2 linked regions of the Danio rerio genome follow. The protein of the gene in region 1 interacts with the protein of each later gene in a biochemical or structural test. Links are inferred from orthologs where the notes say so. Each region holds a gene or a part of one and is shown in the gene's direction. Other genes may lie near its edges. The genes, in order: tcerg1a and sf1.

Region 1 (4,451 bases):
GTTTTCTGCCCAGTAGTGTGTGTTACTGTGTGTTCTGCCCAGTAGTGTGTGTTACTGTGTGTTCTGCCCAGTAGTGTGTGTTATTGAGTGTTTTCTGCCCAGTATTGTGTGTTATTGAGTGTTTTCTGCCCAGTAGTGTGTGTTATTGTGTGTTCTGTCCAGTAGTGTGTGTTAGGTTGTGTGTTATGGCTAGTAGTGTGTGTTAGGTTGTGTGTTCTGCCTAGTAGTGTGTGTTATTGTGTGTTTTCTGCCCAGTAGTGTGTGTTATTGTGTGTTCTGTCCAGTAGTGTGTGTTAGGTTGTGTGTTATGGCTAGTAGTGTGTGTTAGGTTGTGTGTTCTGCCTAGTAGTGTGTGTTATTGTGTGTTTTCTGCCCAGTAGTGTGTGGTATTGTGTGTTCTGGCTAGTAGTGTGTGTTAGGTTGTGTGTTATGGCTAGTAGCGTGTGTTATTGTGTGTTTTCTGCCCTGTAGTGTGTGTTAGTGAATTTTCTGAACAATAGTGTGTGCTGGCACATGTTGTGTGTGTGTGTGTTCTGACCCGTCTCTGCTGACAGTTGACCCAGTACATGTTGGGTTGTTTGTGTTTCAGGACTCCTGCTCTACACACACGGATCTCCGCTCCGCTCCGCCGCAGCCCCGGGCCGCAGATCAGCCTGTCCGCTTTCGGGTTCGCGTCTCCGGCTTCAGGAGGACTGAAGGAGAACAGCAGATCGCCTGGAAGAACCACATCTCCTATCCTCTCCAGCAGACTAGTGTGCACTGAGGAGTCCATGATGGAGGAGCGGAAAACACACACAAACACACGTGTCTGAGCACTTCCGGCACGGGGACTCTTATCCTATACAAATTAACTCATTAAAACCTCTCCAACCCTTTATGTCCACAACAGAAATATATTATAAAGATTTTTCTAAAAGCATTCTTAATATCATTCGACACCGGTAACCATCGACATCCATTATAAGAAAATAAATTCTATTGAAGTCAACAGTTAACGTTACTGGTTTCCAACGCTTAAATAACTTGTGTTCAACTGAGACATGGAATTAAACCGGTTTGGGACATGTAACGTTAACGGTTGAGTAAGTGATGGCAGGATTTATTTTAAGGAGATCTACCCCATTTATTAATATTTAGTCTTTGATTGTTTTTAAAAACGAAATATAATTAAATCGTAAAAACAATCAATAAATCAAAAACTGGATAAAGAGAGGGAGAACGTGCTAACATTCCAGCTAACACAAATCTTCCCCTTTAATTTAGGTTATTTTTGGGACTAATTAAACTAAAACTATAACTAAAATAACTTTAACTAAATAGGAACGTTCTGGTAACCAAAACTGTTGGCCAAGTTACTGGACTATACCGAAAAATGCATATTTTTTACCAGTTAAGTTAAATAATTCATACTGGAAATAAAAGTCACGATGTTTCAGAAGTTTGAAAACCGCTGAGCGGGAAATGGGGACTTTTGTGGCATTTCCGTTATGGCGGAGCACACAGAGGCAGAAGGCATCGGCCTGGCTGCAAACAGGTGCAGTTTTCGCTTTATTTTTCCCTCTCAGATAAACACAGACCCCCGGTTATCATTCGCCTTAGTTTATCCCGAAACTCCTCTGGGCTTCGTCTCCAATAAGGCAGATTTGAGTGGGTTTTAGCCTCGTCTGGCCCGTCGGAGGGTGGACAATGAAAGCAGCACAGCAGCAGTCGCCTCACTGTGTTTATATCGCAGTTTCCGCCGAGAATAAGAGCTTGAGGACACACACCGAGTCTCAGAAATAACCCTGTCAGTGTGTAGAGGGTGTGATGTGGCTGTGAGATCAGCTGGACAGTGTGTTTATGATGGAGTCAGTGCTTCAGATTCAGGTGTACTGTAATGAACACCTTCAGCAATGCAGGAGTCAGTGCAGACACTCCTCCATCATCAGTATCTGGGGTTAAAGTGTGTGTTCTGCTCGTCTTCAGCGTGTTTATGGTGTGTGTGTATCTGTTATTAACAGTGTTGGGGAGAGTTTCTCTCGAAAGTAACGGATTACAGTGTCGCGTTACGGTGTTTTAATGCAGGTGATGTGCTGTGAAAAGGCTGGAACTTTGCTTTTGGCTGAAAATGAGTTGTTGACGCTTTTGGGATATGCAGGATTTCCTTCAACACATGGACATGTTCCTTGAGCCACTTGTGTTTTTTTTAATTGTCACATTGCCAGTTTCCTAACAACAATTATTTGATTTAAGTAATTTTTCCTCAGTGCTACAGTAGAGCTGCACATGATGCTATGATATGACTCGCTGCCTGTCATGTTTATGGTGATATGTATCAGGCATGGGCTGGTATTAGTTTCTGACCGTATGATAACCTTGGACATAAATATCACGGTTTCACAGTATCATGTTATTGTGCTCACTGCTCTGAAATATTTACTTTTTAAATCTCTGGTTAAAAAACTAAACTTTTTTTTCCTTTTTTAATATATATATTCTATTTTGGGAAACATTTAAAATATTTTAGAGCAGTAAACATGTCAGGCTAAATCATTTTAATGAATCATTCACTTCTGCAGTCTTTGTTTTTTTATAAACACTAATATTTTTCCAGTTTAAAACAGAATCTTTGATTATATTTTCTGCTGGAGATACTGCTGTCCTTAAAAACAAAACAAAAATTAATAAAAAAAAAAAAGAAATCTTATTTATACCTTAGGAACGGGATAGCGGAAAATTTTCATGGTTTTAAAACCTTGACTTTCCCAAACCATGGTATACCTTGAGTCGTCCCATGCCAAATATATATATATATATATATATATATATATATATATATATATATATATATATATATATATATATATATACATATATATATATATATATATATATATATATATATATATATATATATATATATATATATATATATATATATATATATACGAGCAATTCCGTGCAAATGTCAACCTTGCCATGAAGAAAATTAAGTTTTCCTCAAAATACCGAAACCGTTTTTTTTTTTTTTTTTGGACAAGTATTTTACAGTACAAACTAATCTATTTGATTTAGCAAAGTCATACAAGTGGCAACTTCACATTTGTCACATCCATAATGACACTTTTTTTCTCTTAAATGTGAAAATATTAAATAAATAAAATCAATCATGTTTATTCTACAGTGAGCGACTCTTCTCCTTAAGATTAGCATTGTTTCTTTTGGGTTGTGCAGATTAATTGACAGAATTTCTACAAAGCATGTTGTATGCAGACGTTTTTTTGCTCGCATCCATAACGCATGTTTATTTTCCTCATTTAAAGTATAAAACATGTCTACAGATTGATCATTTCTGCTCCCTTAACTCTGTGGCCAGTTGTTCTGGAAAATATAAACGGCTGTTTCAGTATAATGTTATCATGTGCTTTCACTGTGAGTTTATGTTTTGAGTTTTTACTGCAAATGTCACATCCATAACACTGGAATTGCTCATATATATATATATATATATAGGCCTGTCATGATATCTGTTTTTTGTTGTATGATATATCACAAGTATTGTGATAAACGAATGATTACAGCTCCAACATAAAAACAAAAGATTTGTCTACATAAAATGCAAACTTTCAAGACTGCAGCCTTCTGATGATGCTGTTATTCGCCTTTCTGTCTGCATCCCTGTAATTAAGGGTCATATTTCACTCATGTAAATTATTAAATTGTATTACTGTAACCAATGTATATCATGACATAAAGAATAGCACATAATATAAAACCTTTTCTGCATATATCAGCATATTGCACAGGCCTAATTCAATTCTTAAAGTTTCTTCATATGTAGAAAAATGAAGTAAACTGGTAACCATCGACCTCCATATTTGTTTTTCTGCTGTGGATGCCATTAGTTACTGGTTTACAACATTCTTCAGAATATCTTCTTTAGTGCTGAACAGCATACAGAAACTCATGAAGGTTTATAAGCACTTGAGGGAGAGTAAATAGTGAGTAAATGTTGATTTTTGTGTGATCTGCCCCTTTACCTGCTGAGTTAGTTTCAGCATCGATATCGCAGTGTCTGGTATATAATGCCAGACAATATAATATCATCACAACGCAAGTGCACTCTTCCAAAAAACACATCATACTTTATTCTTAAGAATATTTCATTTAATTATTGTCATTTTAATGATTTAATAATCAGACATTGGAGTCAGAATGTGAAAACACATCCTAAATAAATAATAATAAAGATAACAAGAAAAGTGCAAGATGAAGAGAAACAGAGGCTGTGATATCTGCTGCCAGATCTGTTTTCAGTCGTCAGACACCCACATATAAATATACTATTATAGGAAATACTACAGTGTATTTAACCATGCTGGCTCCTCCAATAGAGATAGAGATGTTGCACATCAGCTCAGATGTTTTTAGGTATGGCGATATATATATATATATATATATATTACATCACC
Region 2 (4,303 bases), on another chromosome or scaffold:
CCACGCAAAGGCAGGGAGAACATGCAAACTCCACACTGAAACGCCAACTGAGCCGAGGTTCGAACCAGCGACCCAGAGACCTTCTTGCTGTGAGGCGACAGCACTACCTACTGTGCCACTCCTTTGCCCGTTATTAATTCTAAGGGTTCGAATTATACAAATGTAGAATAATTAGCAAGGTCAGGATATAATGTAACTCAGTAGTGTAAATGGGAAAAAAATAAACTATAATACAAATAAAATCTAAGTTTTAAATGTAATTTTATCACTCATATAGACATACTGTATCTACCAAAACCTGACCTGCACAGTAAGAGTAGATAAGATACAGCTGTGTATATGTATATCATCATTTTTTGTGACACTGTATACCAATAATTAACATGTTTACAGTACTGTGACGGTTGGATTTAGGGTTAGGGTAGGGTTCATTTATTTTCATGAGCTAAAGGGTTCATTTAATCCCTTTATTTATCGGGGGTCGCCACAGTGGACAGAACCACCAACTTATTCAGCAAATTAGCAATTCCAGCGTTATGGATGTGACATTTGCAGTAAAATCTCAGAAACAATGCTCATCAAAAGGATAAGAGTTGGCTCATTATAAAACAAAAATGATTGATTTAATTTAATTTGACATTTTTCCATTTACTAGGCAAAATCTTCGTTATTGATGTGACAGATGTGGAATTGCCACTCATGTGATTTTGGTAAGTCAAATATAATAGTTTGAAAACATTAATGGAGACATTTTTGAGTATTTTAAAGCACAAAAACCCAGAAACAGTTTTGCTATTTTGTCGAAATCTTTTTTATTTATGGCAAGGTTGACATTTGCATGGAATTGCTCCTATGTTTTACACAGCGGATGCCCTTCCAGCTGCAACCCAATACTGGGAAACATCCATACACTCATTTATACTCATTTTCTCCACACAGAAAGGCCAACTGCCAAAGCTGGGGCTTGAACCAGTGACATTCTTGCTGTGAGGCGACAGTGCTAACCACTGTGAAAAAAACACTGTCGCCCTAATAAAATATGGGAAATGTAATTTTCGTTGTCTGCCAGCCATAACCGTATCTGATCTAGCTACAACCTGACCACACCGCACAGAAAGAGCCAACCTATCCTGGAACATATGGCCGGCTTGGCGACCAATGAGAGGTAAGTAAATTGCTCCGACGGAAACACGACAGACCTTAAATGATCCAATGAATGTTCCCCAAACACAGATTGACACGACTATCGACCAATCGGATATTTCTAAATTGACGTCAAAGCTCCTTTGTCGATCTCAGCGGACGCCATCTTATCCAGCGGGTGACAGAAGAAGGTTGCGTGGTCGGAGACACGCGTTCGTATCAATTGATTTATCAACAAAAGAAACGGATACATTCTGTGCAGATATCGAACCACGAAGAAGCCCCTGACGCCCAGAAATGGCAACGGGAGCTAACGCAACCCCGCTTGGTAAGCTGCACCCGAGCATCGGCGCTAAGCGAGGCTTTGACTCTGGCCCCGGTCCGGGGTTAATGCCTCCGCCTGGGCCTTCGGTGCCTTTCCCGCTGCAGAACTTCCAACCGCCACAATTATCAAATCCTGGGTTCCCGCAGTTTCCCGGAGCCGTGAGCTCTGCGCTCTCAAACCCTATCGTAGTAGGACAGCAGTCTCAAGCGGGAGGCGGAGGTAAACACCGTGGACAGGCCTTGACTCCTTCAGGATCAACGGCCTCCATTTATAAAAGTAGAATGGCTGGTTACCGTCATTAATAGTCTTACTTGTTTTTACAATGCCATTGCATATTAAAAATCTTTGGAATGTGTAATTATTTAACATGTTCATTTGGGGGATCAAAACTTAATCTAACGTTACACGTTAAAGTATTGTGTTGTATTTAACACTGAACTCTGAAATGAAATATGATGCAGAAAAATCTATTGTTTTGAAATCGAGCAGTGTTAACATTAGACAATAAAGTGCACACTGTTTTTTTTAATATAGATTTTTTTTTTTCAGTTTAGTGCATAATATGGTATAAAAAGGGTTGGGAGCTTTTACACAGCAAATGTACATGCCCAGACTGAACAAAGATGTTTATTACATTGCAGTGTTTATATGGCTAACGATGTTAAGTTAATATAACGTGGCATTTAGCAGCAAACTGCTTGCTTAAACTGCTAAAAACCTTAGAATGCTGTCTTAAATATTTCTTAAATTATTAGTATGTTTCGTAATATCACTTTTATGGCAAAGAATAAGTCCTTTTCCAGGTCTTTAAAGTAAAATATTTCAACATAAACAAGAGAGGCAAAGGTGAAAAATTGATGGAAATTTCAGACGGCACTTAAGAGGTTTTTGCATCTGAACTCTTCATATTTATAATTTCTTTTTAATCAAAGAAAAAATCCTATGTTTACTTTTTAAAAGTGTAATAATTCAATAAATTAAACATTTTGCATCATAAAGACATGGTGAACGTTTCTGTGAAGTTTTGGTCTTAATTTACAGGCTTTAGACATCCACAAATCAGACATAATGGCTTAATTTGTTTACATCCCCTGTCAGATTTTGGACAGAAGAAACGGAAAAGAAGTCGCTGGAGCAGCGAGACCCCTGATCAGAAGACTGTTATCCCGGGCATGCCCACCGTGATCCCTCCTGGGCTGACTCGGGACCAAGAACGAGCTTATATAGGTGAATATCTAAAATTTGCTATTACAACATCTGTCAGAGTCATAGAGTTTAGGTTGCAAATAATTTTGTATGTGAACGGGGGAATATTCTGTCTACACCCAAACAAGTCACTTTTTTTTTTTTTGTCCCAAAACTTGTTTATAATTTTTTTTCTCACAGTTTGCACATCACATGAAGGATGTAACTGCTTAATTTCATTAGTCTGACTTCTTTGCTGATACAACTGATGTCAAATTAGTGAAAGAACCTTTATGTTAAAGCAACAGTTCAAAACGGTCATCTCTATATGTCTCAAATGACTTTATAGAAATGGTCTTCTCAAAGAAGTCAATCCATCGAAATTCAGCACTTTGCCCCATATTTACTAGAATGCACTAACTCCATCAATGTGCAATGTGAGTGCCATTTATTTATTTTTGTTCGTTTAGGACACACTGAGGTATTGGTAGCACTGTCAATGTTTGCATATACCATCTGATGTCCATTAGCAAGAACCCACTGTGTTTTCTGATGTTGCTGCTTGCTGTGAACTGTCTCCAGCTGCAGAACTCCATCACTGCTCATGTTTACTATGCAAAAAATGTCTCGTCCAATTCGACTGCGAAAGCAATGCAGGTCCGATACTGAATTGCTAAAGTCATCTCCATCCCCTTGTGTCTGAAAGCAGTGTGTAGTAAATTGCTTTCTCATTGCTGTCAGGCACTTGTTTTGCAGTAGCATGTGGTGTAGTGTTTGTTTCGACTATAATGTGACCTAGACCTACATCTCTTTAACTACTCCTCCTTTTGACAACTGACACCTCATGTCTCTTACCCACCATCAACCTGCACCATTCAATGTGGGGTCCGATTCTCTTAAGCATGTCATAGAGAAATGCATGTGAAAGCCCATGAAATGCTTCCATGAGTGATGCAGTAATTTGGTTGGTTACAGGTCAGTCTTTGGGTTTGTACAGGCTGATTTGGTTGGCGTGGCTTGAGGCCTTAGTAAAATAAATTGCATGATAAAACGACCTGCTAAAGGCTGATCTGTTTGTCTTAGAACTTATTTATAAATATTGGATTTTACTTAATTGAGTAGTGTTTGTAACTACTGGTAAGTTGCTGACGTGTCAATAACTTGAGTGTTGAATGTAATTGTTTATGTATTGGCTTTTCACACCCAGTGTTAATGACTATTTTTTTAACATAGTAATTTAATTTCATTACGCTGGTGTTATTCTATAACTTTTTATATGAGGATGCATTTGCTCAAGCCATTTAGCCAATATGTTTTTTGATTTCTTCAAACACAACTTTTTTTCCCCCCTCGACAGGCCTTCATGTTTTTGCCACCTTTTTAGCTCATGTGAACTAATGTTTTTAAGGATATGCATAATGTGAATTTTACTTCTCAGAGTTGGTGGCATAAAATGGAAAGCCTGTTGCTATGATCTTTTTCTGAAATTGTTATTTGCTGAAATCCCTTCAGGTTTCTGAAATTAAAATTGGCTGAACATTTGAAACTTGAATTTCTGATTATTTGGGGAATGGGCTCATGAGAATACACTCAAGCTTAAACCGAAGTATGCTTTGCAGAATTCCTGTCGGGCTTTCAGTGTTTCAGAAA

Evidence for each region.
Region 2: the proteins of tcerg1a (region 1) and sf1 form a complex in vitro, tested with the Homo sapiens proteins (3 studies listed by BioGRID). The link is inferred for Danio rerio from reciprocal best matches to the Homo sapiens genes TCERG1 and SF1.

What each region holds. Positions count from the first base shown.
Region 1 is NC_133189.1:58,547,176-58,551,626, forward strand, and holds the start of tcerg1a (transcription elongation regulator 1a), read left to right. Parts: upstream 1-1,478; 5' UTR 1,479-1,487; coding exon 1,488-1,534; intron 1,535-4,451. UniProt on the Homo sapiens protein: Transcription factor that binds RNA polymerase II and inhibits the elongation of transcripts from target promoters. Regulates transcription elongation in a TATA box-dependent manner.
Region 2 is NC_133182.1:22,788,528-22,792,830, forward strand, and holds the start of sf1 (splicing factor 1), read left to right. Parts: upstream 1-1,304; 5' UTR 1,305-1,440; coding exon 1,441-1,687; intron 1,688-2,566; coding exon 2,567-2,695; intron 2,696-4,303. UniProt on the Homo sapiens protein: Necessary for the ATP-dependent first step of spliceosome assembly. Binds to the intron branch point sequence (BPS) 5'-UACUAAC-3' of the pre-mRNA. May act as transcription repressor.